Arabidopsis thaliana: one gene and its partner. The protein of the gene in region 1 interacts with the protein of each later gene in a biochemical or structural test. Each region holds a gene or a part of one and is shown in the gene's direction. Other genes may lie near its edges. The genes, in order: DL1 and SFC.

The links.
Region 2: the proteins of DL1 (region 1) and SFC form a complex in vitro, tested with the Arabidopsis thaliana proteins (one study listed by BioGRID).

What each region holds. Positions count from the first base shown.
Region 1 is NC_003076.8:16,817,358-16,832,194, reverse strand, and holds DL1 (dynamin-like protein), read left to right. Parts: upstream 1-7,178; 5' UTR 7,179-7,658; coding exon 7,659-7,787; intron 7,788-8,154; coding exon 8,155-8,218; intron 8,219-8,314; coding exon 8,315-8,422; intron 8,423-8,509; coding exon 8,510-8,611; intron 8,612-8,695; coding exon 8,696-8,746; intron 8,747-8,871; coding exon 8,872-8,933; intron 8,934-9,106; coding exon 9,107-9,197; intron 9,198-9,292; coding exon 9,293-9,357; intron 9,358-9,554; coding exon 9,555-9,749; intron 9,750-10,001; coding exon 10,002-10,121; intron 10,122-10,189; coding exon 10,190-10,260; intron 10,261-10,399; coding exon 10,400-10,625; coding exon of another isoform or gene 10,626-10,631; exon of another isoform or gene 10,632-10,729; coding exon 10,730-10,780; intron 10,781-10,878; coding exon 10,879-11,107; intron 11,108-11,180; coding exon 11,181-11,320; intron 11,321-11,405; coding exon 11,406-11,534; 3' UTR 11,535-11,911; downstream 11,912-14,837. Other genes in the region: AT5G42110 (uncharacterized protein), read left to right, coding at 1-61, 149-244; BG_PPAP (beta-1,3-glucanase), read left to right, coding at 1,027-2,235, 2,667-2,735; AT5G42090 (Lung seven transmembrane receptor family protein), read right to left, coding at 4,046-5,365; AT5G42070 (uncharacterized protein), read left to right, coding at 12,076-12,281, 12,625-12,870, 13,035-13,077; AT5G42060 (DEK, chromatin associated protein), read left to right, coding at 13,273-13,551; AT5G42053 (uncharacterized protein), read right to left, coding at 14,323-14,487. UniProt on the Arabidopsis thaliana protein: Microtubule-associated force-producing protein that is targeted to at the leading edges of the forming cell plate during cytokinesis.
Region 2 is NC_003076.8:4,253,073-4,268,572, reverse strand, and holds SFC (ARF GTPase-activating protein), read left to right. Parts: upstream 1-6,004; 5' UTR 6,005-6,554; coding exon 6,555-6,599; intron 6,600-7,263; coding exon 7,264-7,340; intron 7,341-7,454; coding exon 7,455-7,555; intron 7,556-7,837; coding exon 7,838-7,908; intron 7,909-8,119; coding exon 8,120-8,182; intron 8,183-8,649; coding exon 8,650-8,694; intron 8,695-9,094; coding exon 9,095-9,160; intron 9,161-9,255; coding exon 9,256-9,303; intron 9,304-9,405; coding exon 9,406-9,501; intron 9,502-9,578; coding exon 9,579-9,620; intron 9,621-9,784; coding exon 9,785-10,000; intron 10,001-10,073; coding exon 10,074-10,205; intron 10,206-10,335; coding exon 10,336-10,566; intron 10,567-10,669; coding exon 10,670-10,756; intron 10,757-10,843; coding exon 10,844-11,179; intron 11,180-11,406; coding exon 11,407-11,552; intron 11,553-11,639; coding exon 11,640-11,724; intron 11,725-11,944; coding exon 11,945-12,408; intron 12,409-12,517; coding exon 12,518-12,650; 3' UTR 12,651-13,026; and 1 more. Other genes in the region: AT5G13310 (uncharacterized protein), read right to left, coding at 3,584-4,339, 4,656-5,012; AT5G13295 (uncharacterized protein), read right to left, coding at 14,252-14,321, 14,337-14,620; CRN (Protein kinase superfamily protein), read left to right, coding at 14,358-15,253, 15,340-15,500. UniProt on the Arabidopsis thaliana protein: GTPase-activating protein (GAP) for ADP ribosylation factor (ARF). Involved in the spatial control of provascular differentiation. Required for the formation of the normal pattern of continuous secondary veins.

The sequences.
Region 1 (14,837 bases):
CATTGCCGTCTCCACCGCTGCTCTCTCTTCTTCCTCCATTCTTCCTCCAGTCTCCCCAAAGGTTTTTCTTTCTTTTTTAAGATCTGCGATTTCGACGATTTCAATTGTTCTGTGGTTTGAAACTGAGATGTGGATATGAATTGATCAGGTTTGGGAATCGAGGAAAACGAATGGGTCGGACAATTTCGAGCCGAGGTTTGATGGGTTAAGGTTCATAGAGACGCTGGTCACAGCACACAGATGATAAGATTACAAATACCATTCTTCTTCTTCTTCTCTTGGGTGATGCAAAAGCTTTGTTTTTTCCATTCAAAGCGTGAGTGCGTCACTTAGGTCTTTAATCTTATCATTCTCATCTTCTCTTTTGTTGTCTTCTATTATCTCTGTAATGAGAATTTATTAACATTCTTTTGCTTTCAAGGGATATGCTAAATTGAACTCTTTCTTGTTGTGAGCTAAACTTTATTCATATGTTGGTGTGCTTTTACTTTATATGAGACAAAGCAATGTGTGGCGATGGCTCTAATTGGTGTTTTGAATCATTGGGTTGTATCTGGTTAAACTTTAAAGAGCCGTTCAAGGTCATCAACCTAGTTGGATTTAGTCAAATTCTGGTGTATTGGAAAAAAGACTAGTTGAAGCAAACAGGCTGTTGAAAGACATGAGTGGTAGATGTTCTAGTTGGTGTTCTGTCTCCATGTAGCTGTCTCAAATACCTAGCAAGTGTTGTAATGAGAGCACCGAGAGAGAAGAGGACAAGAATGATCTGTCATAAGAGAAGTGAGAATCCGAGAGGAAGCAAAACAAGAAAGATGCTCTCTCCTCTACTGCTTGCTCCAGAGACACTGACTTCCAGCTCATCCAAACCAACATTACTCTTTCTCTTTCTTCTTTTCAATTATTTCTTTATTACTATTTCACTTTGAAATTTAGTGAATCCTAACGCTCTGGTCCCATCACTGCCTCCTCTATCATCTTGCTCACAACCACTCACTACGCTCTCTCTCTCTCTCTCTCACTTCATCTATGGCTTCTTCTTCTCTGCAGTCTCTCTTCTCTCTGTTTTGCCTTGCTCTGTTCTCTCTTCCTCTCATCGTCTCCTCCATCGGCATCAACTATGGCCAGGTCGCTAACAACCTTCCTCCCCCTAAAAACGTCATCCCTCTCCTCAAGTCTGTGGGAGCTACAAAAGTCAAGCTCTATGACGCCGATCCACAAGCCCTACGTGCCTTCGCCGGCTCCGGCTTCGAGCTCACCGTGGCCCTCGGTAACGAGTACCTGGCTCAGATGAGCGACCCTATTAAAGCCCAAGGCTGGGTGAAGGAGAACGTCCAAGCTTACCTCCCAAACACCAAGATCGTGGCCATCGTAGTGGGAAACGAAGTCCTCACCTCAAACCAGTCAGCCCTCACGGCAGCCCTCTTCCCGGCTATGCAAAGCATCCACGGTGCTCTGGTGGATTGTGGCCTAAACAAGCAGATCTTTGTGACGACGGCTCACTCACTAGCCATCTTGGATGTATCCTACCCTCCCTCGGCCACTTCCTTCCGCCGCGACCTCCTCGGCTCCCTCACTCCCATCTTGGACTTCCACGTCAAGACTGGCTCACCAATCCTCATCAACGCCTACCCTTTCTTCGCCTACGAAGAAAACCCCAAACACGTTTCTCTCGACTTCGTACTCTTCCAACCAAATCAAGGCTTCACCGATCCTGGCTCTAATTTCCACTACGACAACATGCTCTTCGCTCAGGTCGACGCAGTCTATCACGCTCTTGACGCTGTCGGCATCAGCTACAAGAAAGTTCCCATTGTCGTCTCCGAGACCGGATGGCCTTCCAACGGTGACCCGCAAGAAGTCGGAGCCACCTGCGACAATGCTCGCAAGTACAATGGGAATCTGATCAAGATGATGATGAGCAAGAAGATGAGGACGCCTATACGACCTGAGTGCGATCTCACCATCTTCGTCTTTGCTCTCTTTAACGAGAACATGAAGCCTGGACCAACCTCCGAGAGGAACTACGGTCTCTTCAACCCTGACGGAACTCCGGTTTACTCACTTGGGATCAAGACCTCTTCCACTCATAGTAGTGGTAGTGGTAGCAGCAACTCCACTGGTGGTAGTAGCAGTGGCGGTGGCGGTAACACTGGTGGCTCTTCCAGCGGTGGTGGCATCTATCAGCCAGTCACGGGTAACCCATCACCGGATTACATGTCCATTTCCTCCGCCGGGGTAACGTTTTCGACTTTACACTTCATTTGTTGTTTTACTTTGACAATTTTCGTAGACATTTAGGACTAGAAGGTCGTTACTGTTAAGTTGCATATTTAGACATATTTTGTCACTCTATTTATCTGTTTTGTTTCATTTAAACAATAAATTTAGTGGTAAAAGAAAAAAAAATCACAAAGCTCGAATAAGGAAGGATTAACATTGTGGTAAAGTTAGTGACTTTTGGTTAAAAAGTTGGAATCTTTATTATAAACTCGAAAAACTGTGACAATGTGTTTTGGATTGGTTATCACGTGGAGATGACTCTTGTTTTGTTACTTTTGTCTGAAAATATAATTGATTTAGAGTGCCTCACTTTTTGACTTGTTGACCTCTTGAATAAACGAATTAAAGGAGTGTGACATAGGCAATGCTTGTTGACGTTTTTGCAGGGAAAAGGCAGATTCGTTGAGTGTGTGTTGTTCTTCTTCTTGCTTTGCATCATCAAGCTTCGGTTGTAAAAGCTTCTCCACTAGATCTCGTCGGCTTTGTACTTTTACTCGGTTGATGACGTGATATAGCCCCCAAATTTAATTTAATTAGTTTTGTGTTGGTGTTTTGGTCGGAGGATGATTTAGGAGACATACCATCTTTGTTGTGCCGACCTCCTCTCCAACTCTTTTTTTTTTTCCTTTTCCATTCTCCTTTTTCTTGTTTAAGCATAGATTATTTAAATAATGAATCTTAGTTGATTAGATTTTTCTAAAGAAGATGATGATTTTCGATAATTGTATAACTTGAAGACATTTGAGGCCAGAGTAGTGGCAGACAGAATCTTGGCACAAGCAACAAGTGCTAATTTTTTTTTTTTTTTTTTTTAAATATTATTAATCCTCATCCCAAATGGGCTTGGGCCGCAACAAAAACAACATCAAATCCAGTTACAAAATTAGCAAATCGGAAAACATGTCGGCAAAGAAGGAAGATCGCCGCTTGTTGATGGAAGCTAGCAGAGAGACCGGAGCATTAGATCCGGCGGGCTCAAGCCCTACAGTTTCGAGGCCGCAACCGATGCTCGAGAAACTCCGACGAAAGAGACCGGTTTTCGTCCTCGAATCAACCCCACCGGCGCACCAACCCACCACAAGACTCCCAGAAAGCTAGTCCCCCCAACAAGCACATCGACGGCACCGGATTCTGAAGAAGCAATCCGATACACTGGACGGTAACCCTTCCTTCCCAAACCGGTACAGATCCGGTTTTTCAAGGTCCAAAATATGTATTCCCTTCAATAAATCACCTCCGCATTCGTACACCTAATTTCCGCCAAACTTTTTGTATTTATGTGACCAATCAATCTCTATGGTCCACCAAACATTCAATGTTAATCTCTTCCACCTCCACACACTATACCAATTCTTTCGTCTGTCACTTCAGACAAAGATATAAATACAGATCCAACAAGGCAAATAGTAGTGAACAAAGTTTGCTTCCTTAAGCAACTTTTCTAATCAGCCATTTTGTCTATCAAATGAAAAGCAGAGACTCAGATTAAGTATAACGAGCAGCACCAAGCGTTTTATGTTACCAGTAATACACATACTATGCATTGGGGGACAAGACATTCATAGAGTCTATATAAGTATCCTAACAATTCAAGTAAAAACAAAACAGGTATTGCATTCTAATAAAGATAACAAGAGGAAAAAACCAAAGAAGAGAAGGCGGTTTAGCAGGCAGCTGATGATCCGGTTTACTCTCAATCATCCTGTCAAACAAAGTATGTTTCTTTTTACTGACTCACACGTGACACGATTATTCCAGTGATGACTTACAATTCAAACTCGTCTTCAAGCTTCAGAGCCTCAGCAGCAGCCTCTTCTTCCTCATCGTCAACAACAAAGTACGGGTTATGCACCTCTGGCCTGAACTTGTAGCCAGTAAACAGATAGAAGGCAAGTGTGGCTAACTCGCTGGCAACAACACTAGTCCACATATACTTGTAAGAGGTAATGGTCTCCAGTGCATACACAACAACACGAGTGAAGTAGATGTAGCAGATAACCACAATGTAGTACTGCCTAAACAGAGTTAACTTAACGAGGTTCACAGCAGCCTTCCCGTCAGTCTTAGCCGCCTCACGCAAGTTTTTGATGGACCAGACAATGGGAAACAGAACAGCACAGCAACAGACGACATCAACAAGCAAAAAGATCTGTTTCCACGTGACCCAATCTTGGCCATACGGTCCAGTCTCATCGATAACCACCTGAGCAAAGTTAGCGACAACCTGGAGAGGAATGACAATCATCAAGACCTTCTTTTCCTTGTCCTGCAAGTAGGGCTTCAAGAAAGACCAACCGGTGCCGATCAAGACGATCAAAGTGAAAAGAGTGATACCCTTAAGGAAATTGAAAATGTAGAACAAGACATCCCAACCATGAGCAGTTCCAGTTTTCTTAATGTACGACTTATCCTCAGCCTCACAAAGAAGGTTCAAAGCTTTCAAGACAACAACTCCCAACATGAAGAAATGGATTGCGAAAACAGTGAGACGTTTCTTATAGAGAACGTAGATCCACGTGGCGGCGAGAGAGAAATAGATAACAGAGAATAAGAAATAGACCTTAGGAAGAACAGTTCTTCCAGCAGAGAGATAATCACGACCTCCCTTTTTACCTTCAAGGTTATACATAGCGGATCTAACATCCATACTGATTTTGACCTGTTGGAGACAATTAGCGAAGACGAGAGAGTACTGATCCGCATCGTTCTCGGTGAATACGGTGGAGAATCTGCTCTTATCTCCTCCCTTGAGATTGTTGAAGGTGAACACATGCTTAACGAGATCTGATTGTAGAGCGCACGTGATCTCTTCTTCTTCAAGCTGTTGGATCACATGAACCCAAGCGTCTCTAGTGCAGAGAAAGAAGCCCACTTTGGAGAGATCGAGATCGGGATTGCTGTTGGAAAGCCAGATCTTGGAAGCGTCAAGCTCAAGACGACCGCTGTGAGTGAAACCGAATTCGTCTAAAGGGATGATTGGACGATCATCGGATCGGATCTCTGATTTACGAATCTCAGCCGAAGCTATGGAGATGGAGATCAAGAGAAGGATAAGGATCGATGAGAAGCGTGAAGAGAGATCCATGGGAACTAGGGTTTCGTTCTTCGACTTCACAGAGAGATTAATCTGATCTCAGATGTGAGATCCAAAGCAAAATCAATCCAACTTGTTCTTCTTCCGATGAAAACGGTTGTGTGTGACCAACCAAATTAAATTAGTCTTTTTTTTCTTTCTAAGAAACAAAATAAATACCATTATTTTATTAGCAACAAGAGAACCCATTTTCCTTCATCATTAAGGGAATAAACCATCTTTGACGGATTAGTTGATTTCTAGAAACAAAAATTTCACCAATTCACCGATTCCAACCGAATGGCCGGCGTTTCCAGTGTATTTGAAGGAGTTGTAGAGTGATAGGGAAGAATTCATAAATTTCTCTTTATCTTTAATTTCTCGTAGTGCAAATGTAAAAGCGGATAAGTTGGCACGAAAGATTCGTACCGTACCGCATCATGTCACGTATGTAAACAATATCTCTCGGGATTGGATCTTTTGAGTTCAAATTTATATCGGTTGACAAAAAAAAAAAAAAAAAAAAAAGGAAGAAATTAAAGTATTGATGAATTTCGTTTTGAATTGGTCGGAAATTGGATGTATAAGTTGAGAACAAATTATCCATCAATTTAAATCATAAAATGTTTTTCCGAATGACTTTTTTTTGGAGATGTATTATTTCTAAATGTTTTTACGGTTTCTTTAGATCTCGTTCAGATTGTATCAACAAGCGCGAAACCTTCATTAAACATAAATGGTATACAAAGAAAGCTTAAATACTAAACCGGAGAGATATTATCTATTTATAATAGATTGGTTTGACTGTTTGAGTGTCTATGGTCTAACTCTTGTCCTCTCTACACAACCCGACACTAAACCAACATCTTCCACTCACATATGACGAAAAACATCAGAAAGTAGTAGAAGAGTACTCTTAGAGATTTTGTTCAAGAATCGCAATTCGAAAAAGTTACACTGCAAATAAACCGTGTGACCCGTGCAAGTATATGTGCTTTTGGAAGCTAAATTCATGCAGCTGCTACGGAGACATACAGTCTACATACCTAAATATATTACATAGCATGTCTCACTCCAACCTCATTTGTATTTCATATTAGTCTCAACATATTCCCATAAAGCATATGTTAAACCTATTTTACATCACGTTTTCACTAACTTCAAAATTCTAATTTGAGGGATAGAAGTTGGTCACATGATACATATTTGTTAACGTATGAACATCATAAAATCTAACAATTGATACAAGAGTATGTAGGATACAAAGTTACACGTTGTGTTTGTCTCAAACAACATTAGTAACATTTTTTAAAAAAATTGTGTAGACAAACACAACATTAGTAACATTTAAAAAAAAAAATGTGAACCGGTTTATTTTTTCACCACTTAGCTGGAAAATAAATAACGTGTATTTGCGTAAACAATACATAAGGTTTAAAAATGTGTTAGTGCTATGTTTTATACATTTCTAAAAAGCGTTTGGATCTCACCAACCAAACATAGTATTTGCCAAAATGCAAACGCTATCTAAAATCGATGTGACATTACTAGTCAGATTTAGTGGGTTTGTTCTAGAAAAGATCTTTATTTTATACATTCAAATTTTCAAAACTACAGTTATTTTGTTGTTTAGTGTCATCCTTTTGAATAAACAATCATAATCCTTAACGTCTCTTATCTTTTTTTTGAATCCTCAATCTATGGACCGTTTGAACTGCAATCGTAATGAGGATGTTCGTGGTCCACATGAAATCACTTTACTCTACTAATAAGTGATAGTTTTTTTATTCGAATTTTAACTCGTTACATTCTTTTACAAGAAAATCGACCTTGTTATATTTATTTATATGGTTGGTCATGCATGCAATAGTATTATCATTACTTTACCTGGTTAGAGAGATGTGGAATATTAAGGGATTGGTTGAATATATACGACACACCTCGTCGTTTTTATTTTGTTTTTGGTCAACTCCTCGTCGTCTTTGAATTCTCGAAATAAACACCATGCCGTTTCAAATTTTCTTTGGAAAAGAAAAGACCCTGTATTGGCTTTTATATAAACCGCTTTCTTCCCCTTTACTTTTTCCCAACACTAGCAAGCAAAAATTCTTCATCGACTCAAATTCAAAAACTCATCTCTCTCTATCTCTATTTCTCTGGTTCCATAGCTCACCGTCGCATCGCAGATCTACTCCTTCCGCAATAAATTTTACCGGCGGAGGTATCAGATCTCGCCGATCTGTTGTAGCAGCTACTGTATTTTGGGCTTCTCATTTGATATTGGGGAAACGAGGAGTAGAGGACGATGGAAAATCTGATCTCTCTGGTTAACAAGATACAGAGAGCTTGCACGGCTTTAGGAGACCATGGAGACTCCAGCGCTTTACCTACTCTTTGGGATTCCTTGCCTGCGATCGCCGTCGTTGGTGGTCAGGTTTGCATCTCGATCTCCTTCCCCTTCCATTATATGCTTGACGATCTATCTCACGATTCGTTCGTTTTTTTTGCGATTCGGAATTGATATTGAGCTGAGGTATTCGGATAAATTTGCCCTAAACTTCGTTGTTTTTGCTTATCAACATCCGGATCGTGAGGAATTATAGTTTAATAGCTTCTACTATGAACTAGCTTTGCAAGCAATTGGTATTGAGGAATGTTGACTTGGCTTTGACTTGGATATTTTTTCACTAGTTGGTCTTGAACCATTTAATTTAAGCTACGATTGTTGTGGAGAGGGGTTTCTGTACTTTGATAATTCTATGTGGCATTAAGTTTATGTTGTATCCTTATTGTGTTGACAGAGCTCAGGGAAGTCTTCAGTCCTGGAGAGCATCGTGGGAAAGGACTTTTTACCCCGTGGATCTGGTAAATACAGTGTTAACACTTCTTACTTAGTTTTAATTATGAAATTGCTTATTTCCTTGAGTAATGACAATATGCATTTGCGGTAACTATTTGTAGGCATTGTTACTCGAAGGCCCCTTGTCTTACAGTTGCAAAAGATCGATGATGGAACCCGGGAGTATGCAGAGTTTCTTCACCTCCCGAGGAAAAAGTTTACTGATTTTGGTGGGTTTCGGCTATCTCAATTTGCAGTTCAAGTTTCACCTTCTCCTGTATTCCATTGATATTTGATTAATTTAATCACCTCTATAGCTGCTGTGAGGAAGGAGATTCAAGATGAGACTGACAGAGAGACTGGACGCAGCAAGGCTATTTCTAGTGTTCCCATTCACCTTAGCATATACTCTCCCAATGGTAAGGACAACCCAAAATCTCTTTCCAGTTGTATGTGCTTTTTGTTCATTCTCTAATTTTTTATCCTCTTTACTATGTGTGCAGTTGTCAACTTGACACTGATAGATCTTCCAGGGCTTACAAAAGTTGCTGTTGGTAAGTTACAGTAGAGCAAGAAGTTTTGGTCTATTTTTTCTAGCGATGAAGCATGAGGCAATAGACTTTATTCTCTACCATACATAATTTGGCATGACACGACAAATTTCTTTTGGTTGATGCAGATGGACAATCTGATAGTATAGTGAAGGACATTGAAAACATGGTTCGGTCCTACATTGAAAAGGTAAATGAAAATGCTTACTCCCAGACCCTTTAATGTTTTATAGATAGCTATCGCCAGTTTAAATTAGATTCGGTAATATATAAGTATTCTCCCTATATTTGTTATGTTTTCGTAGCGCCAAATGAGTTGACACTATTCTGTTTTTTTTTTTATTTAATTAAATTTCCTTATAGCCCAACTGCATCATTTTGGCAATCTCACCTGCAAACCAAGATCTTGCTACCTCAGATGCAATTAAAATTTCCCGTGAGGTTGATCCATCGGGTGAGCATTTTACAAACAATTCATTTTTCCACCTAAGAGACCCAACACATTATTCTGTCATCCTATGTCTCTTATAATCTTGGTGATCTTCACAGGGGACAGAACATTTGGTGTCTTGACAAAGATTGATCTTATGGACAAGGGGACGGATGCAGTGGAAGTAAGTTGAATTCCCAGTTTATAGAACATCTGTACTAGAATTTCGAATTACTGTGAATAAAATGTGTTGTAATTAGTCTATGATATGATGTTGGAGCTATAAAATGCTAATTTGTGTAGTAACATCATAATACTTATGTTCCCTCATTAATGTTTATTGCGTGCACCGCTACTTACCAAATGATATTTTTTGCTCAGATTCTGGAAGGGAGATCTTTTAAACTTAAATATCCGTGGGTTGGTGTCGTCAACCGTTCCCAAGCAGATATTAACAAGAATGTCGACATGATTGCGGCTCGGAAAAGAGAGAGGGAGTACTTTTCCAATACTACTGAGTATAGGCACCTTGCTAATAAAATGGGTTCCGAGCATTTGGCAAAGATGCTCTCCAAGGTACGTGCTTTCACGAGGCTAGGGGTAGTTTTCTTCACCAGGTTCTTTATAATAAGTAAGTTGGCGTTGTGAAATTTGTTAGGAGTGGTAAATAAGAGTTTCAGGGCCAGTGTTTTCACGATTGCTGCTAATTTTCTTAGCAGCCGACAGAAAATACTAAGAAACTACGAAGTTATGGCAATGCTTAGCACGTTTCTCTGTATAAAACCATCAGGACAGAGCCTAATTGCAACAATTTTATTTGTTGCGCAGCATCTAGAACGTGTGATCAAGTCGAGAATTCCTGGCATTCAGTCACTTATTAACAAAACAGTATTAGAGCTGGAAACTGAACTAAGTCGCCTTGGAAAGCCTATTGCAGCTGATGCAGGGGTAAATTGTGTATTCTTTTATTTTTGATTGAATTGCGCTATCAAGATTTACTTAATGTTCTGATGCAGGGGAAGTTGTACTCAATAATGGAGATATGTCGGCTTTTTGATCAAATATTCAAAGAGCATCTTGATGGAGTGTACGTTTTGACTCTTTTTACTTCAAATGTTTAAGATTACACCATGAGTTGTTATAGCGTCTGAGTTGATATTTCTACTCTTGACCTTCTGAAACTACAAAAGGAAAATTGTAATTTAAGACTATGGTTGATTACACAGGCGTGCTGGTGGTGAAAAAGTGTACAACGTGTTTGATAACCAGCTTCCTGCGGCTCTGAAGAGACTCCAATTTGACAAGCAGCTAGCGATGGACAACATCCGGAAGCTGGTCACTGAGGCTGATGGTTACCAGCCTCACTTGATTGCTCCTGAGCAAGGTTACCGTCGTCTCATTGAGTCTTCTATTGTCTCCATCAGAGGCCCTGCTGAAGCATCTGTTGACACCGTATGAACTCTTTACTTTCATCTCTAAAAAGATGTATCAAAAACCTAACACAAAACAATAAGCTTCTCTCTCCGTTTTTTTTTTTTTCTATGGTTAAATATTAGGTTCATGCTATCTTAAAGGATCTGGTTCACAAGTCTGTGAATGAAACTGTGGTACGTTCTTTTTTCTTTTAGTAATATATATATATATATATATATCTCCAACAACTAGTACTTTTGTACAATGTTATAGACGGTTTGAACATGTGCAGGAACTAAAACAATACCCAGCTCTGAGAGTGGAGGTGACAAATGCGGCGATAGAGTCGCTGGATAAAATGCGGGAAGGAAGTAAGAAAGCAACACTGCAGCTGGTTGACATGGAGTGCAGTTACCTCACTGTTGATTTCTTCAGGAAACTTCCCCAGGATGTTGAGAAGGGTGGTAACCCCACACACTCCATTTTCGACCGCTACAACGATTCCTATCTCAGACGAATCGGTAAGGTTAACCCATATAAATAAATAATTATCTGGTACCGTATATCTCACAAATTTTAGACATTTGGCAACAGGATCCAATGTTTTGTCTTACGTGAACATGGTCTGTGCTGGCCTGCGGAATTCAATCCCCAAGTCCATCGTATACTGCCAAGTCCGAGAAGCGAAGCGCAGTCTCCTCGACCATTTCTTTGCGGAGCTCGGTACCATGGATGTAAGTGCTCTCTGCCTTTTTTCTTAACCTAAAGAAGTGTCATTCGGGTAAACACTGAGTCAACTAATATGGTGATATCCAACAGATGAAGAGGCTCTCGTCGCTATTGAACGAAGATCCAGCAATCATGGAGAGACGCAGTGCCATCTCAAAGCGGCTAGAATTGTATCGAGCAGCCCAATCCGAGATCGATGCTGTTGCTTGGTCCAAGTGATACCGGCATGTCATGTCCACTGTTTTGCTCGGTTCTGGTCGGTGTGGCTCAGACTCGGAGCAGAGATTTAGGGTCTGTAATTTGTATAAGATGATCTTCCCGATACCATGCAGTATCGTTTTATATAACATCCACATTGTTTGTCCTACCTCTATGTTTTTTGTCCATCACCCGATATGTTACGTATCGTTTTATAACATCCACATTGTTTGTCCTGCCTCTAATGTTTTTTGTCCATCACCCGATATGTTACGTATCTTTTATAACATCCACATAGATTAGATTTTCTCTATTCCCTTTATTTAATTACTATAAAATGTATTTTTCGCATATGATAATTTTTCTGTAACAATAGTATAATATTAAACATTCTACCCAAAAAAAGAGTATAATATTTAAATATGATTACCAATAAGAAAAAAATTCTAATAGTTTAAAATAAAAATTTGTAATGTACTCTTTTTTATTTTGTTTTGCGTTTCTGAATTTGTGGCCATTATCTTCTCACACTCTCTTCTCTTAGCTCACAGAGGAAAGAAAAATGGCGAATTCCATTTCATCAATATCTCTGCCTCGATGTTTCATCTTCAACAATGGTAGTCACAAATCAAGGCCATGGCCAAGCTCAAGCAGTTTCTTTCTCAACAAATCATCAAAGCATCATCCTCATCCACTACTCTCTCTTTCTTCTTCGCCGTCTTCCGTCGTAGAAACTGATAATGACGACGACAACGACCTCACTTTCAGGTACCCTTTTGCTTCTCTTCATCGATTCCATTGGAAAGCTTAAACCTTTCTCAGCTAATCCAATTTCGTTGACATTAAGGATTTTAGAGTTAGTGATAGATTAGGGATTGCGTAAATGATGAAATCATAGAGACTCTTTTCTGCTGTTAACTTGTTAGTGTTATATGAATCTTCAATTTTGTTACACTAGTGAATCTCTTAAAATGATTCTCTACAATAACTAACCTCATAAATTTCTTTGTGGTCTCATGTTGGCTTGAGCGATTGGTTATATTGTCATTTGTGAATTGTGATGGATCCATCTCTCTATAGTCAATAGATCATAACATGAGGAATGAAACAGTGGTTGCAGAGCGTGTGGGAAAGAAGAGAAAGAGAGTGGGTGTAATGGTGACGGACGGATTCAAGGTGGCATTGCAACTGTCCCCGGTTTCGGTTGGTGGCCAATTAAGGCTTACAGGCCTTGTCCCGCGTTTGTTGAGGCCGGAGGTAGATACCGCCGCATAGGGCAGAGCATGGACGAGGTTGCATTTGGTCGTGGTGACTCTAAATCCTCCACTTCTGTAGACACCAGTGATTCACTACTACGGTATGTTAATGCCTAGTATTATTTATATACACTTACAATCAACAATGAAACAAATTGGACCGCAACAAAAACCGTCTTTTGGCATGTACAAGAATGTCAAAATGGGTTTGAGAACCTTGCAGAGTAATGATGATCATGTTCTTCTCTCTTTGTTTGTTTTGCAGCCAGACAAAGCCAACAAGTTCTAGCAAAAGTTCAAACAAGTGATATATAGCCCAGTTTTTCAAGTCCAAGAAGAACTTTTTTTGGAAATGTGTAATGATGATTGGGCCTAAACATATTATCGGCCCATTTATAATTTTACGGCTCAATAGTTAAGAAACCCTAAAGAAGGTTTTATCACTCGTAAGAAAAAACAAAACAAAAACCCTTTGGTTTCTCTCTGTCGGCGAGACATCATCAATGGAGGAAGTAGCGAGAGAAGAAGTAGAGATCGACAAGGATCTGCGGAGGAAAATAAAGAAGACGGTGAAGAAGATCTTGGAAAGTTCGAACTTGTACAAGATAACAGAGATTAAGGCGCGAGAAGAAGCTTCACTTAAATTGGATCTTGATCTGTCTCAAGATCCTTACAAGGTAATCGTGAAAGAAGAAGTTGAAAATTTCCTCGAAGAAGCAGTAAAGTTGATCGGCAATAAACTTGCGATGCTTCCCAAGAGAATAGAGTCGACGAGTATTTAGATATTATTAATCTAAAAGTATGTCGATCCAAAATTGGATAGTTTTAATGTAATTTCCTCAAAGATTGTCTCTGTTTGTTTTTTTAATAGTGTTTCTGGTTCATGGAAGCTAATGTTTTTGTCCGATATGAAACATGTGTCTAAGCAATAAGACAATGTGTCTGAGGAATTTGAGCTCTTGCAAGAAAATTTGCAGGACACCTCTTCAAACTTGGCTTGCCAAGTCCTAATGTGTCGAATTCAGTTACAGATTCTGAAGTTGATGGCACTATTTTTTGTTCAGGAAAAGAGATACTTGTCTGTTATTACCTTGGAAACACACCTTTCGATAGCCTTTGCTCCAGCAGCTGAATATTGCAAATAATAGATTAGAGCTTGTAATTCGCTTTCCAATGGATTGTTGACTGTGTTTTATACTGATCAGACCGTGGGTTAGCAAGATTCCAACCATCAGGTTTGCACACATCAGGAATGGTAGCATTAACGGCAACTATCAAGCTTCTTGTCCCGTCGTTACCAATAAATTTGATGAGTGGACCAAAGGCGGTCCAGTTATCAAACCAAAAGCTACCAATGTTACACCTGATAAATTTCTCAGCCAACACTCTCAAGTCTCAACCTTAGAATACACTTCTAGTTCCATGAATCAGCAACCCTTTCAGGGTTCCAAAAGCTTGTAGTTTTGTTGCAATTGTTATGCACTATTATTACCAGTTCGTATAAAATATACATAAATGCCGATAATCTATATAAAAAAAAAAGAAGGTTAATCTTAATTGGTGAACAAGTGGCTGATTGGTCCAAACACAAAGTCAGCAAAAGTTTCAGCCCATCGAATACAAAGCCAACGTGCACCGTTAAAGCGTGGCACAATCTGGTCCGCGTAATTAGCGTCGAGACGAGTCCATGTGTTTGTTTCCACTAAGCGTGAACGCATATTTCAAAACAAAGACCAATTCAAAGTCTTCTTCATCTCCCCCACATTAATATCTCCAGTCTCCATTTACCTACGCCACGTCGTGAGATTTTCTTTTAAGTTGTGGATCTATTTCTGACATTTTCTCCTATGGTTTATAACAAAACTAATGCCGACGAACAAAAATTAAATATTTTGATGTTTTGATGTTAACACTTTTATTGTACACTTTTTCTTAACGTGCTTTTCTCTAATCACTTTTGCTGCTTCAACTAATCTTTCCCACATTTTTTTTCCCCCAAACCATTGCCTTCTGTTCTGGATTCATTTTAATTACTTGTTGGAGAAGTTTGTTGTTTGTTACAACAAAT
Region 2 (15,500 bases), about 13 Mb from region 1:
TGATTACATAGGAATATAGACATCTGATGATAAATAGTTTGTTTAACTAATATCCATGGAAAATGTTTTTCTTTTGTCGGCATATTCATGGAAAATGTAATTTCGTCGAAAATATGGTTTCGTGGAAAATGTTCTTTCGTAAATTTCCAAAGCAATGCTTAGTAAAAAACGTGTAGAGTCTGTGAGAACCTTTCATGATGTGAGACTTTGACATCGATCTAAGGCTTCATGGAAAATATTTATTAGCTAACTGTTTCATGGAAAATTAGTTTAACTAATTCAAAGAACATTATTTTTTTTGGTAAAATAACTCAAAGGACATTGGTAAGCTTAATATAATAAATAAGTATTATGTGTAATATGTAGAGGAATACAAGTAATACCAGCTTAGGTTTCAAATTTTGAAAGTTTAAATGCAATTATGCAGTATACTAGTACCATGCAAAATTGTGATAAAATTAAAATTTGCGTATGTAATCTAGTTTAAAATAACTTTTGACGATTTATTTGTTCCTTGGGTTTTAACTTGTGACGAATTGTTCAGCAAGTATCATCTTGTCGATTATTTAATAGTCAACATTATGCAACTATCAGTTTTTTTATTCTTCTTTTGGTGTCTGTTTCATGAATCATGAGAAGTCAGGAAAACGCAGAGAAATCCACAAGGAACTTCTGCAAAATTTGGTACTTCCGAAACAAGTTAAAACTTTCGCGCAAGAAAAATAAAACTCATACACAAAGACCAGACCACAACAAGACTCTACGCTGCGAGTCAAATATAAATATTAAGAAAATGATTAAAAATATAGTTAAATTCATAAACAACAAAGACCACAAAAGACTCTACAATGGGAGTCAACAAAAACTATTTATTTAGTTGAGTGAGTCGTGTGATGAAAGTGATGGAGACTAGAAATTACAAACGAAGTTTCAATATTAGAAAAGAACATGAAATTGAACGCAAGAGACTTTAGACTCACCTGCAACAGAGTCTCGTATCTTTTCTCCAGATTGGTACACTCAATTTAATTACAAAGGATTTGGAAATTTTTGAAATTGCATTAAACAAAAACAAAACCAAAAATAAAGATCAATAATACAACAGCAAAGACAATAGTACGATCCAATGGTATCACTGATATATTATATATGGTTCTCGCTTAAGCTCCAATCGTAGTCTAGTCTTATCCTGCCCAACGGTACTATATGTTTTTTTACTTCTACCAAACCAAACCAAACCAAACATTGTCATTCGTCTTCAATTGATACAAATGCCCTAAAAGGAAAAACCAAAACTATTTTCTTGTTAATCTCTTCCGTTCTTTATCTTCTTTCTCCATAAACTGTTAAATATTTAATTTTATGATAATCTTTCCAGCAACCCTACTACATATATTTTTTTTTTTTTATTTATTTATTTTGCAACAAAACAAATTCATCCATTGATTTTTTTTAAAAAAAATCGCCTAGAAAAACTAGTACAAACTAGAAAAAAATAATTCAAAGAAAAAAAAAAAATCAAATTTTTAAAAGTTTGAATTTTCTTACTTAAATACCAAAGGATGACCATTCATCTAGAACGCCAATTAGCTTAATTAAATCTTTACAATTATGTCTCAAAAATCACACTAGCTAAAGAGGACAAAATATGACATTTTATTGCCCAAAAGAGATATTCGAACTATGTGTGTAGGGTGACATTTATCTGTGGTAGCTCTTTAACCCGAGGAGGGCAATATTCTAGCGAGAAAGGACAAGCCATCCATCGCCTCTTAATGAATCTGATACGTCCCACGAGCTATCGATTTGACAGACAATATAGTATGAATCGTGTCGATTTAAGTAGCGTCCATGCAAGCCCGAGCAATTGCTACGCGGAACGCATCCGCTTCTCGGGCCGTATAAGACATTACATCTACTGAATAAATGGCTTTATAATATTTTCGAACATTTTCGCGTTTTGACTTTCTAAATAAACCATAAATCAAAGGGGATCTTATTATTTAATGTACTTATTTTTCTTTTGAAAATGATTTGTTTTGTAAACATCGATCTTTTATGTAAGATAATCATAAAATATTCATTTATAATTAGGTAATTATAATATTTTGGTTTAATTATAAAAGTACTTTATTTTTTTTTTGGGGGGTAAAAATCCTTTATTTGTAATGAAAGTTAATATTTGAAATATTTTTCACAAAAATATTTTGATTAATCCTCTTAAGCAAATTTTGTAATCGTAATAATATTTATGGATTGCTTCTAGTTGCCCTGAAATTTCTTAACGGATTAAAGACAACCAAAACGGTTTGGGTTTGACATAAAATTAAAAACTTATAATTTAATGGAGCTTATGAAGTGTGGGCCTGGAGGGATATTTGCCCAGAAATTCGCTGGAAAAAGAAAACGATGTTCCAGGTAAACCTTGAGAGTTAAAAGTCATTTCTTAATAAGCTACAACGTCAAACACGAGTTTTGATCAAATAAACTTCCAAGTAGTCTCCATCTTCTGACTTTGATATGCACACCAAGTGGGGTTTGGTGTCTTCGTCTACTAGTATTTTGGTGTGTCCTTCCAAAAACACACGTATCTACCATAAATGTCAAATTAGCGAAATGAAAAAACAACATTTTATAAATGCATCCGTACGCAGAAACAAGAGGCCATAGTTAAGAGAGCTATCCATGGAATGGATCTTTAAGCAAGTTACACAAAATGATGAATGTGGTATATGAGTTATGCACACATACAGTATTAAGGAAAAAAGACAGCTTGTCAAAGCCGTTTAAGGCTCAACAACAGCAGTATTGTGTCCGTCCCTCCCATTTTTTTTCTCTGTTTTCGTTCATACATACATATATGCATCTCATCTAAAACAAACCAGAAATTTTCACACCAGTCTTGTCTTCGGATTAGAACTTTCTCCTCCTGTCAGGAAAGACATGTGTAATGTTTAAAAAACACTGCAACAACGAGTGGTCTTTTGATGAAACCATAAGCTGAAAACCCGTAAAAACAGATTCACGAACTGAAGGAACAACCCTAAGCAATTGCTCAATTAACGACAGCTTTGCTTTAAGCAAAAATCTTTAACGCAAACAATTGGAATCCATGATTTGATTAATCTGCAGTCATACTAAACTTGATGAATTGAATCAAAAAGAAAATAAGAAGAGGTGTTTCCTTCTTTCTCAGATCAACAGACTTTCACCTGCTCATAATTATAAATTGCTTGCTCAAAACCATGTCTTTCTTTAACCCTGGAATCTTCCCAGAAACGATTCACTAGTGTTGAATCAAAACTTGTGGCAACATCACTGGAATCTATCAAGATAGCTTCCAGGAAGTTGAGGTAGCTTTAGATTCTCTTCTGCGTGTACTATCAACCAGTCTCAAAGGTAAACAGTTTCTTACTATGTTACCATACATTCGCTGTAATACAGTCTCTAAATTGGGTAAAAAAGAAGTCTAGGAATTAAAAATATCTTACATGTGCGGCTAAAAGATGCTACATGATTGTATCTCATGGACCCCAACTTCATCTCTGTGTAGCGTTTTCCAACCAAACTGGTATGTGAAAGATCAGACATCTGTTTCATCTAAACTAAGCTTGGCACGATATTGACGACCTTTGCTTTGGAAACTGGTGCAGCTCTCTGATTCTCGTATTTCAGTATCCCCATCTTCTGTTGCACTTGGTCTCTCTTCTTCTGCCAACTCTCCAGCTACGATAGGCTTCGTCTCATTACAGTTACTACTGTCTTCACTTACGTCCTTGGTCTTATTCTGCGGAATAAAGGAGACTTTTGGAAATGATTCTGACTCTGGATTTTTCAATCCTTCAACAGCATTGGGAGTGTCCATGTACTCTCCTGTTGGGGACTCCACATCCAATTCACAAGATGGATCAAAGCTGTAACGGGTGTAACTCGAAGGATTTAGCAAGTAATCCGGTACCCGAGCACCACTTTTTCCCTGATGAGATACGATTTTTGACGAGGCAGAAGCTGAACAAGTATCTTCAGGCTTCTTCAATGTTTCTTCAGGCACAGAATCAAACCTGACTCGCTTACTTGTCCTTGCTTCTGAATCTGAACTATTCTCCTTCCTTTTGAGTATAGGTTTTCGCGGCATAGCTTCGGATGATTCTTCTGCGTGTGGCTCTTTGCTTTCCGAAGGTTGACTTGCAGAAGTATTAAACTTGTTAGCCTCAATTTCATCTTCCTTCAGCCTAATTCTTGCAGCAACATAGTTAGCACGAGGATCCCGAATCCGCCCACAGCCTTCACCGTCATTCTCTTCCCCTAGTGCAACTTTATCATACTCATCTTCCTCTGCCTGTGTTAAGAAGCATAATTCATGGAAACAACACTCAGCATCAAAGAAAGTGACATCCTATTCATAATACGGTATGTGCTACATATAGTTATAGCAAGAAAAACTCAAATTCAAGAATCTTAAAGCTGGTTACATAGGTTGATGATTCACGTACAAAAACTCTATAAGTCACACAAACCAATATGATACTACATTAAAAATTCAATGCTCTTCTCATATGAATCTACCAAATCCAAGAGAAAAGACCAACACTGTTCCCTAATTTCAATTAGCTAAGCAATGAGAAACAATCGTTAAGAGACCAAAATTGATTTACCTCGTCATCGAGAGTGCGATCAAGGCCCATGGAGGCTCTGATACTCCACACACCATCAAAATCCTCGCCGCAATCAATATCTTTGAGATCATCCTCGGAAGGCTTCTGCTGTTTTAAGAGCTCGTCAAAGGATGAAGCACAAGGAATCTCGTCTCTATCGTACGAATCTCGCTTCCACTCCCGCTTCTCTACCTCTGTGTCGGAGAGAGTCCACACCGACCCCGATTGCTGCCGCGACGCCGGAGCAGAAGACGACGTGGAAAACTTGGAAGACGAAGGACGAGAGAAGGGTAGAGATCCGAAGATCTTCGCAACGCGAGACTGGAAATCTTCGTCGGCTGATCCAGACGATGCCATTGTGAAGCTATTAGAAATTGAAACACACACAAATCGATTGCTGTGAATAAACGAAGAACGAACAAAATAATAGACCGCCTTTCGTGTGATCCTATAACAAAACAAATTTTAAATGGGCATTTTATAATGGGCCTGGCTTAATGGAATTTCCTACTTCTTGGCCCAATATCGGCCTACTAGTCACTGTTACCTCTATACAGTTTTTAATTTTTTTTTGGTTGTGTGCTAAAGTGGATTTTAGTATCCGTAGGCCGTTTGAGGTCAATAAGGAAATGAAAGATGCGACAGTCTAAAAAGGAAAAGAGAGATCTAAGTTACATTAGATTGATAGCCATATGTCGGAAATCATTTGAGAGAGAAAACATACGATAAATGTTGTGAGAAAGATGAAAGAAAATTGATGTGAGAAAATCTGATTAGAAGACCATATTAAATGTTGGTTAATAGTAATACATAATGTTCATTATTATGTTTTTAATTGCAGATGTCTTAGTTTTACCAGTTGAACAAAGATCTTAACCTAGATTTAAGACGATTATCGTTATGATTAAACAATATTGAACTAGCTGGACAAGACTCAAGAGATCATACATTTCATTAAACAATAAGGATTTTGAAACCAAGAAAATGTATTTTAATAATCATATGCGACTGTAAAGTCTGCAAAAGAAAGTAAGATCATCGTGTCCATTTTTTCCAAATTTCTCCCACTTTTCTTTTTGCTTTAACAATTTTTTTCCAAAAGAAAGTAATCATAAGTGTTCAATTTTTTATATTTAAAGATATTTTCATATAAAATAAAATAAACATGTCTTAAAAGGAATCATTTATACCCCACTGGCCTCTCTGTCTCTCCGGAACAAAAGATAATGGAGAAGCAACCAGATAACGGGTCCCACTCTCCCCTCTCTATTAATACTCTCGAGAGAATCGCGTTTACTACACGCGCCTCCTAATTTCCAGCCTCTTTAATACTACACGGGCTTTAAAGGCGCGTGGATATAGTGGATTTTAGCCAGAGTCCTTGTTTTCTCAGATGACCACTGTTACAGAAAAAGCACAGTCAGTCCTCTCTTTAAAAAATTTACACTTGAAACGACGTCGTATCTTACCAACCTTCACGATCTCCGGCGGTAACTAAAACGGCATAGTTTCGCCGTCTTTTGTGGTTAAAATTTTCACAAAGACGGTGAAGTTTTTTTTCTTCCTTTCTTTGATTTGTCTGTCTCTTCTCTTCTCCCGAGACACTTCATCTAAAAAACACACCCCCACTGTTTTCTTGTTTTGTTCTCTCTCGATTTCGCGAGAAAAAAACACCAGCTCAAAATTACGCTTGGCTCGAGACTTTGAAGATCATCGGTTTCTGTTTCTGTTGGATATTTCGGGGAAGCTTTGGGAGGAGAGGATCTCACGTTTTTGTTCGTTTATGGCGTCTGTGTGAGACATAGTGGTGGTTCTAGCTTTTAGGTTTTTGGTGTGTGTGTTCGTGTTATGTTAATTGCTGTTTGTGTCGAAGAAGAGGAAGTAATAAATTAGCTCAAAATGCATTTCACTAAGCTTGATGACTCTCCCATGTTCCGCAAACAGGTTTGTTTCTACTACATATCTTTGGTTCCTGTCTATGTGTGCTTGTCTTGATGTGTCCAGTCTTTTAGTGTCGTAGGTTAAAATTGGGTCATATTAGGCGAGATTTGTTCTTCAAAAGTTGTCAACAGATACTAATTTTGGAGCCATTAGGATGTGTTGTGTCTGGAATTTTGAATGTCCACCGACATTTATATTCCAAAATGTGAGTGGAACTTCACTGGAAGGTTCGAATTAATGTGTCACTAAGAAATTGGTTTATCTGGACGGCCTATTCGCGCTTTAACTTGTTGCTCCATGAAATGTGAAATGACTTATGATCCAGTGCACTTGTTTGGGTCTCTGATTCGTGTGTTTAGGATACATTTGTGTCCACTTAGCTACTACTTTCATGCTCACTGGTTTAGTAGGACTTCTGCTATCTAACTCAACTTAAATGCTAAGGAAGTTCCTAGTGTAGCTCAAATTCTGTCCAACAACTGCTCTGTTTGCCTGAAGTTGATGATTCTTTTGCCCCTATATAGAGTGCCTGAATCACTCAATCTTTGGGGTTATCCATAGTTGCAGTTTCTTCCATAATTGGATTGTGTCTTTACTGTTTTCTTTGCGTTTATGTATTTTTCCTTCCGCAGCTGCGTTCTTACATTGATATCTTTTTCTTAAATAGTTACAAAGCATGGAGGAGAGCGCAGAAATATTGCGGGAAAGAAGTCTCAAGTTTTACAAAGGATGCCGGAAATACACGTATGCTAGTTCAAATTTTCACAGCTAATTAGGATTGTAGCTCTACATTTAGAGTTTTCTTCTGGCTGAAACATGTATCTTTTAACAGCGATAGATTATTCTTTCTTTTTACAGTGAAGGACTAGGCGAGGCATACGATGGGGACATTGCTTTCGCAAGTGCACTTGAAACATTTGGTGGAGGCCATAATGATCCAATAAGTGTGGCTTTTGGAGGTATGACCGATTATATGGAAACTCGCAGTAGCATATTGTCTGTTTATTCCCATAATCTTTGCAGTTTTCATCTGAGATTCTTTGGCACTTTCCATTTTAGAATTCATAATTTCGTTTTTAAGCACTAAATACTGATAGTGGCCTTAAATTATGAGGGAAGTTGTTGTTCCCGCTCTTTCTCTTCGCTTTCTCTTTGCTAGGGTTGTTAGATTCACTGGTTTTGGTGGAAATGTTAACAATTTGCTGTTAAAAGTGCTGACAAACTCTAACTTGCTGTGCCAGGACCGGTAATGACGAAATTTACAATTGCGTTGAGGGAAATTGGGACTTATAAGGAAGTTCTTCGGTCACAGGTATGCTAGTTTGCTATTTTGACACTCTCTGTTTCTCCCTATTCCCAGCCTTCTCTCTGATAACTCCTGTGGTATCAACGTAGGATAGCTTTGTTTTCCTTCAGCAAAAATGGCCTCTTTATAGTTTGCTTTACCTTAAGACATCATATAGATTTAGAGCAGATCAAGTCATTTCAATCCAGGTTTTGATTTTGATGAGTTCCATTGTCAGGTGGAACATATACTGAATGACAGATTACTTCAGTTTGCCAATATGGACTTGCATGAAGTTAAGGTACAAGCTGCTTCCTTTATTATTGGCTTGATATACATGTTTTGAGTTAACTTTGCATCATTGAGGTATTAGTATTGACTAGAATATCTATTAAACAATGGAGGACAAATATTCTGCATGTGTGAATAGAGAAAATATGAAGACCTGCCAAGAGGCATTTAATTTAATATGGACATTAGGTCTTGTTCTTCTGGTTTGACTTGCAGCACTAGAAATCTAAAAAAAAGAACTAATTATCACTCATGTGGTCAACCTTCCCCAAACAAAATATAATTGTGAATATTTTCTGAGGTCATTAATGTAGATAAGGTCTGATGATTGCGGAAAATATGGTTAAGTTTCTTGAGCCTGCCTTTACATTGTGGCTAGTCAGCTTGTCCAGATATATCTTTTTCCATTTTTATAGTAGGCTAGCATGACATGGTTATATTTGGATATGGAACCCTGAGAGATCATTTTTGCCACAGGAAGCTCGGAAGCGCTTTGACAAGGCTAGCCTTACCTACGATCAGGTATCCCTTTTGTCAAGGATTTTTGTTTTCCCCACTCCGCTGACTTGGTTTGCACTACAAAAGATATTTTGGAAAGATTAAAAGTTCTCATCCTGACTCTTTTCTTTACTAGATGTAAATCTGTATGAAAAGTTTCAACCAGACAAAATGGGTCGAGCTCAAATATTTTAGAATCATTCCTCGTTAATGGAGGAACGCTAGGGTTCCTCTTTTTCAAAGTTATGATATGTGTTGCAGTTTCCGTGCAGGCAGTGTATAAATTTGCAGAAACCTAGCTAGTTTTTTTGTTCATGCTACATTTGTAGCTTGGAAAATAACTGATAGAAATAGAGAGGCATATTGGGTCCACGGCTCCCACTTATCTGGACGATTAACTAATTAACTTCTTATTGTGCTTTAGGCCCGTGAGAAGTTTTTATCTTTGAGGAAAGGTACAAAAAGTGACGTTGCTGCTGCTTTAGAACAGGTATGGTGCATGATTTTAGTAAAGCTCGTTTCTGATTTTTGATAACCATGTATTTTTATTTCTATGTTGTAACTAACATATTTTGACACTGACAGGAACTTCATACTTCGAGGTCTATGTTTGAGCAAGCTCGGTTCAACCTTGTAATTTTCTATCGTTTGATCTTGAGTGTTCAAATCTACATACTTGCTGTCCATACGTAGTATTGTTGAAGTAATCATTTGGTTTCCCTAATTTATGCTCAGGTGACTGCTCTATCAAATGTTGAAGCTAAGAAAAGGTTTGAATTTTTGGAAGCAGTCAGTGGAACAATGGATGCACATCTTCGGTACTTCAAACAGGTAAGTTTGTTATGCTGCTTAGAATTATAAAATAGTCTGGAAAGGTTTGTGTCAAATCTAAACGTGGTTGCTTTCAGGGTTACGAATTACTGCATCAGATGGAACCATATATCAATCAGGTCGGTTTAATGTTATTTTCCTTTTCTTCAAGTGATAGATCCCTAAATATTTGGGGTTTATGTATAATTCTCTTCTACGACTATGTATGAATCTTCACATGTGTTGAAAACGCGGAGATAGTAGCATTTAGAAAACTACTTATACATCAACTCTTTTTTTGTAGGTCTTGACATATGCGCAACAATCCAGAGAAAGATCAAATTATGAACAAGCAGCACTTAATGAAAAGATGCAGGAGTACAAAAGACAGGTTGATCGAGAGAGCAGGTGGGGTTCAAATGGTTCTAATGGATCACCAAATGGAGATGGCATACAAGCAATCGGTAGAAGCTCTCACAAAATGATAGACGCCGTAATGCAATCTGCTGCAAGAGGAAAGGTTGATCAACGTCTTTAACATATGATTGATACATCTTCCAGAGAGTACTATTAACATTTCTTGGTGCTTTCAGGTGCAAACAATAAGGCAAGGTTATCTCTCTAAACGATCTTCAAACCTGAGAGGAGACTGGAAAAGAAGGTTTTTTGTTCTTGACAGCCGGGGAATGCTCTATTATTACCGAAAACAGTGTAGCAAACCATCTGTGAGTTTTGGTTTTATATTTATCTTTTATTTGAAAACAGCAGAATTATGCAAACGGTATGGTGTTCATAAAGTAAAAATCTATTTGACCCATTCTTTTCACACTCTGACTTAGATTATTTGATGTTTAGGGGTCTGGAAGCCAGCTTTCTGGACAGAGAAATAGCTCCGAGCTTGGGTCTGGACTGCTTAGTAGGTGGCTTTCTTCGAATAATCATGGACATGGTGGTGTCCATGATGAGAAGTCTGTAGCTCGTCATACAGTGAACTTACTCACCTCAACAATTAAAGTCGACGCTGATCAATCAGATCTGAGGTTTTGCTTTAGGATCATATCACCTACAAAAAACTACACGTTGCAGGTTTGATTCAGAGTGTTTGTTACTGCCTTAAAACTTTATTGTATACATGTTTGCCCAAGTTTAATAGTTTTCACTCAGTGTTTACTTATGTTTGTCAGTGCAGGCTGAGAGTGCACTCGATCAAATGGATTGGATAGAAAAGATCACTGGGGTTATTGCATCACTACTTAGTTCTCAGGTCCCTGAACAGGTAAGTATTATCATTATTCCTTTACCTGACCAGGCTCATATTAAATACCAATGCAACTTTGGTGATTGTCCATCGGCTACATTTCAGCGTCTTCCTGGTAGTCCCATGGGAAGTGGCCACCATCGATCTGCTAGTGAAAGTAGCTCATATGAAAGTTCTGAATATGATCATCCTACTACTGAAGAATTTGTATGTGAGAGGAGCTTTTTGGGGTACAATGAAAGGCCATCAAGAAGTTTTCAGCCGCAACGGTCCATTAGAAAGGGTGAGAAGCCCATTGATGCTCTTCGAAAGGTCTGTGGGAATGACAAATGTGCGGATTGTGGAGCTCCAGAACCAGACTGGGCTTCTTTAAATCTGGGGGTTCTTGTCTGTATCGAATGTTCTGGTGTTCACCGTAATCTTGGTGTGCATATATCTAAGGTAAAAAATCTCCAGAACTCTTAATTGCTTAGAAAATATATGTAGGCTCTATAACAACCAACTTATGGAAGGACGTAAAGAAGTCCATGAGAATTTTGAAGTGACACTAGGCTTATATTCAATAGCAATTCAGATTATAGAGCATGTGATAGAATTTGAACTTTGGATGGCTCGGCCTTCAATTTGACATAAGTTATACAGCAATCTGAAGTTGGCTGTTGCTACAGGTTAGGTCACTCACTCTCGACGTGAAAGTATGGGAGCCATCTGTTATAAGTTTGTTCCAAGCTCTTGGAAATACTTTCGCAAACACAGTTTGGGAGGAATTGCTTCATTCAAGGAGCGCCATCCATTTTGACCCCGGCTTAACAGTGTAAAACTCCATTTATGTTTGAAAGTGATGATAACTTTGATCACCTAGAAATCATAATGTTAAAATTACTCTGCCAAATATGTGCAGGTCTGATAAATCCAGGGTGATGGTCACTGGAAAACCCAGCTATGCTGATATGATATCTATCAAGGAGAAGTATATACAAGCTAAGGTTTTTAAGCTTCTACCCTTTATTTGATTCCTTATGTTGGAGATAAATGAAGCTATTTTTCTTCTCGAGGGCGTGCTTATTTCTTCCCAGTATGTTGTTCCTTCAAATATTCATTGAGCATGTAGAAAATATTTACTTTCGAGGCATTCTCTCGTTGCTCGGTCATAGGCAATGTTCAGGAAAGCTCATTCAAACTTTTTTTTTTTTTGTCATTCCACAGTATGCGGAGAAGTTATTTGTTCGGAGATCAAGAGACAGCGATTTCCCACAATCAGCTGCACAACAAATGTGGGACGCAGTGAGTGGCAATGATAAAAAAGCTGTTTACCGGCTCATTGTCAATGGTGATGCGGATGTGAATTATGTGTATGACCAAACTTCCAGTTCTTCGTTAACACTTTCCAGAGTAATATTAGTACCAGAAAGGCCAAAGCGTGAGGATGTTCTACTCAGATTAAGAAATGAGTTACTTGATAGAACAGGTAGTTCTTCAAATATATCTCCTGAGGGAAGCGGAGGTTCCTCTCTGCTTCACTGTGCTTGTGAGAAGGCAGACCTTGGGATGGTAGAGCTTTTGCTGCAGTATGGTGCAAATGTAAACGCCTCAGATTCAAGTGGTCAAACGCCGCTGCACTGTTGTCTTCTCAGAGGAAAAGTGACAATAGCAAGATTGCTTCTCACTAGGTGAGTTGGTCTTCTTAGATCCGCTTATCCAAAATGTCCCTAACATTTTCTCTGGCTAAATCCTTTGGAAATGTTAAAAGTTTTCACACAAGTTGTGTGTATGTTGCAGGGGAGCAGACCCGGAAGCTATGAACAGAGAAGGCAAAACCGCTCTTGATATTGCTGCAGAGTCAAATTTTACTGATCCAGAAGTTCTTGCTCTCCTTTCAGACACAAATGGATACAATCACAGACAGTGCTGATAAAGATGCATAGGCTTGCGGACATAAAAATTCCGGAGCTATGTTTCATCGTTGCTTTCACGGTCTGAAGAGCCAATCAACACTAAAGAAGGACCTCTAATGGTCTCTAGCAAGTTTAGCCCCCAATTAAGTATTGTATTGATGTTTTTGTGATGGATGGATATAGGCTGCATATTGGGAAATTATAGTGTATTGTATTGTGTCGTGTTGTGTGTATGTGGGACTATAGCATCCTGAGTTTGTCATGTCCAGACGTTGTAACTTGTAAGCAATTACTTATGGTTTTGTTCACTTCGTATTAACGTATTTAATTTGTGGCTCGATTTTGGTTTTGAATCTGTGTCAAAACTAAGATAATTTACGTGTTAAACCAGGCCCAAGTTTGAAAGTTAATTGTCAATTTTCAGACCAGAGTACATATTGGTCCACTTATTCCCATTACATTCATAGTTTTGAGTCTTTTGATAATAGTGTTACCATTTCAATTAGGCTAATCTTTTTTCAACCCAAGATATTTTTATAAAAAGGAATGTGGTTCAAATCGGAAAACAAGACCTAACTTTGAATAAAAGCACTACAGCATAAAGCTTTTACCTTTAACAAAAAAAATATAATAATTTTTTACAAGGAAAAAGAAGAGAAAGCAATTATTCTCAGACAAACAAAGGAACCACTTTTGTAGGTGTAGTAGTAATCTCACACGCTAAGACAAAAGTGCACAAATTCTCGAGACTCTCTTCTATCCAACGGTCCATATCTCACTAACCGCATCTAAATAACGGACAAGATCTTCTTTTGGCTTCAGCTCTCTTTAGTCTTTACCTTCCCTCAAGCTCGGTACTCGATGTCTTGCTTTCGGCCACTCATGAAAGCAACGAGAGCTTCCCCTTTCATCCGCCTACGTGGCTATGGGACCCAGTCTAACCACGACCACCTGACATCGTGGGCCCCACTGTAAGGCGGGAACCCCATTTTTTTTTGGCTGTAAGTAACGGATTCTCGGTCATGCTTTTTTGTGAGGATAGAGAGAGAGACTGAGAGAGAGAGAGAGTGTGTCACGGTCTCGCAGATACTGTGTATTGAAAAGAGAGTTCTAGAGAGAGAGTGTGTTATGTGTGTGTGTGTGTGTGTGTGTGTGTGTGTGTGTGTTTGGTTACTGGGATTAATTGAGCTGAAACAGTTTGGATAGTTTTGTTTGTTCTGTTTCATCTTTCAACCACAGATATAGTAATATTGTGAAAACCCCTCATTGAAGTTTGTTCTCTGCTCTCTCTTTTTGGGTTTAGCACTGAGTTTTGGGGTTTATTTCGAGACATACCCATACAAAGTTTGATACTTTTGTGTCCCCCCTTATCAAGAAAATTGTGGGGTTTTTTTTTTTTTTTAATAAGCTTCCTTTAAATTTTCAATTTTTATTTTGGAGGAAAAGAGTGAGAATTTCAGATAAGAATCTATGAGCCAATGATATTCTAATTCATCTTCTTCGTGAAGATTTTGAGTTGAATTCCATTTTCCTTTTTGTCTTGGTGGTTTCTCATTGGTTTTCTCGAGAATATTTGTGGTTTTGGGAGAAGAGGCTTCACTGTAGCATTGAAAAAGTCTTAAACTTTTCTGTGTCTTTTTATGTAAGCTTTGAACAGCTTCACCTTTCTGGGTTTTCTCAGATTGTGTCTAATCTTGAAAAACCTTTTATTCGTAGAAGCAGCAATGAAGCAAAGAAGAAGAAGAAATGGATGTAGTAGTAGCAACACTATCTCTCTACTCTTATTATTCTTCTTAGTCTTCTTTTCAAGAACAAGCACAAGTACAAGTTGTCGTAGAAGAACTGTTAAACACTTATCCACAACTTCAACATCATCTACACCACTTGAATCAAGAATCACTTCCAAGGTTATTGTGATTAGTATCGTCTCAGGGATTTTAACAGGGTTGGTTTCAGCTTTGGTGTTAGCTTTCTTGGTTCGTAGCATTGTCAAATTCATGAAACAGACGCCAATTCTCAAAGGTCCAGTGGTGTTTTCTCCTAAGATTACTCCTAAATCTCTCCACGCAGCTCTCAGTAATGGTATTCAGTTGCTTGGCTCTGACCTTAATGGTAAATACTATAAGATGGTTCTTGATAATGGTCTAGTGGTTGCAGTCAAGAGACTAGGCTCACTTGAAGGAGTTGGTTCACCAGAAAGTAGTAGTAGCAAGTCGGTTAAGAGAAGGTTGCAGAAGGAACTTGAGCTTCTTGCTGGGTTAAGGCATAGGAACCTTATGAGTTTACGAGCTTATGTTCGCGAATCTGATGAGTTCTCTCTGGTCTATGATTACATGCCTAATGGTAGCCTTGAGGATGTGATGAATAAAGTTAGAACGAAAGAGGTAGAGCTTGGATGGGAGATTAGGCTTAGAGTTGCAGTTGGAATTGTGAAAGGGCTTCAGTATCTTCATTTCAGTTGTGAGACCCAGATTCTTCATTATAACCTGAAACCTACAAATGTGATGTTGGATTCTGAGTTTGAGCCTCGGCTTGCTGATTGTGGATTGGCCAAGATCATGCCTAGTTCACACACAGCGGTATCTTGCTACTCTGCCCCTGAGTCCTCTCAAAGTAACAGGTGCTTCAAATATCAACACCATAGCCTTTGAGTTAACTCCTTTTTCATCTCTTTTACTAACACGGTAATGCAAATCCTTGTGACAGATACACAGACAAAAGCGACATATTCAGCTTTGGGATGATATTGGGTGTTCTTTTAACCGGAAGAGACCCGACCCACCCGTTCTGCGAAGAGTCTGCAAGCGGAGGTAGCTTAGGACAGTGGCTGAAACATTTACAACAGTCTGGGGAAGCACGAGAAGCAT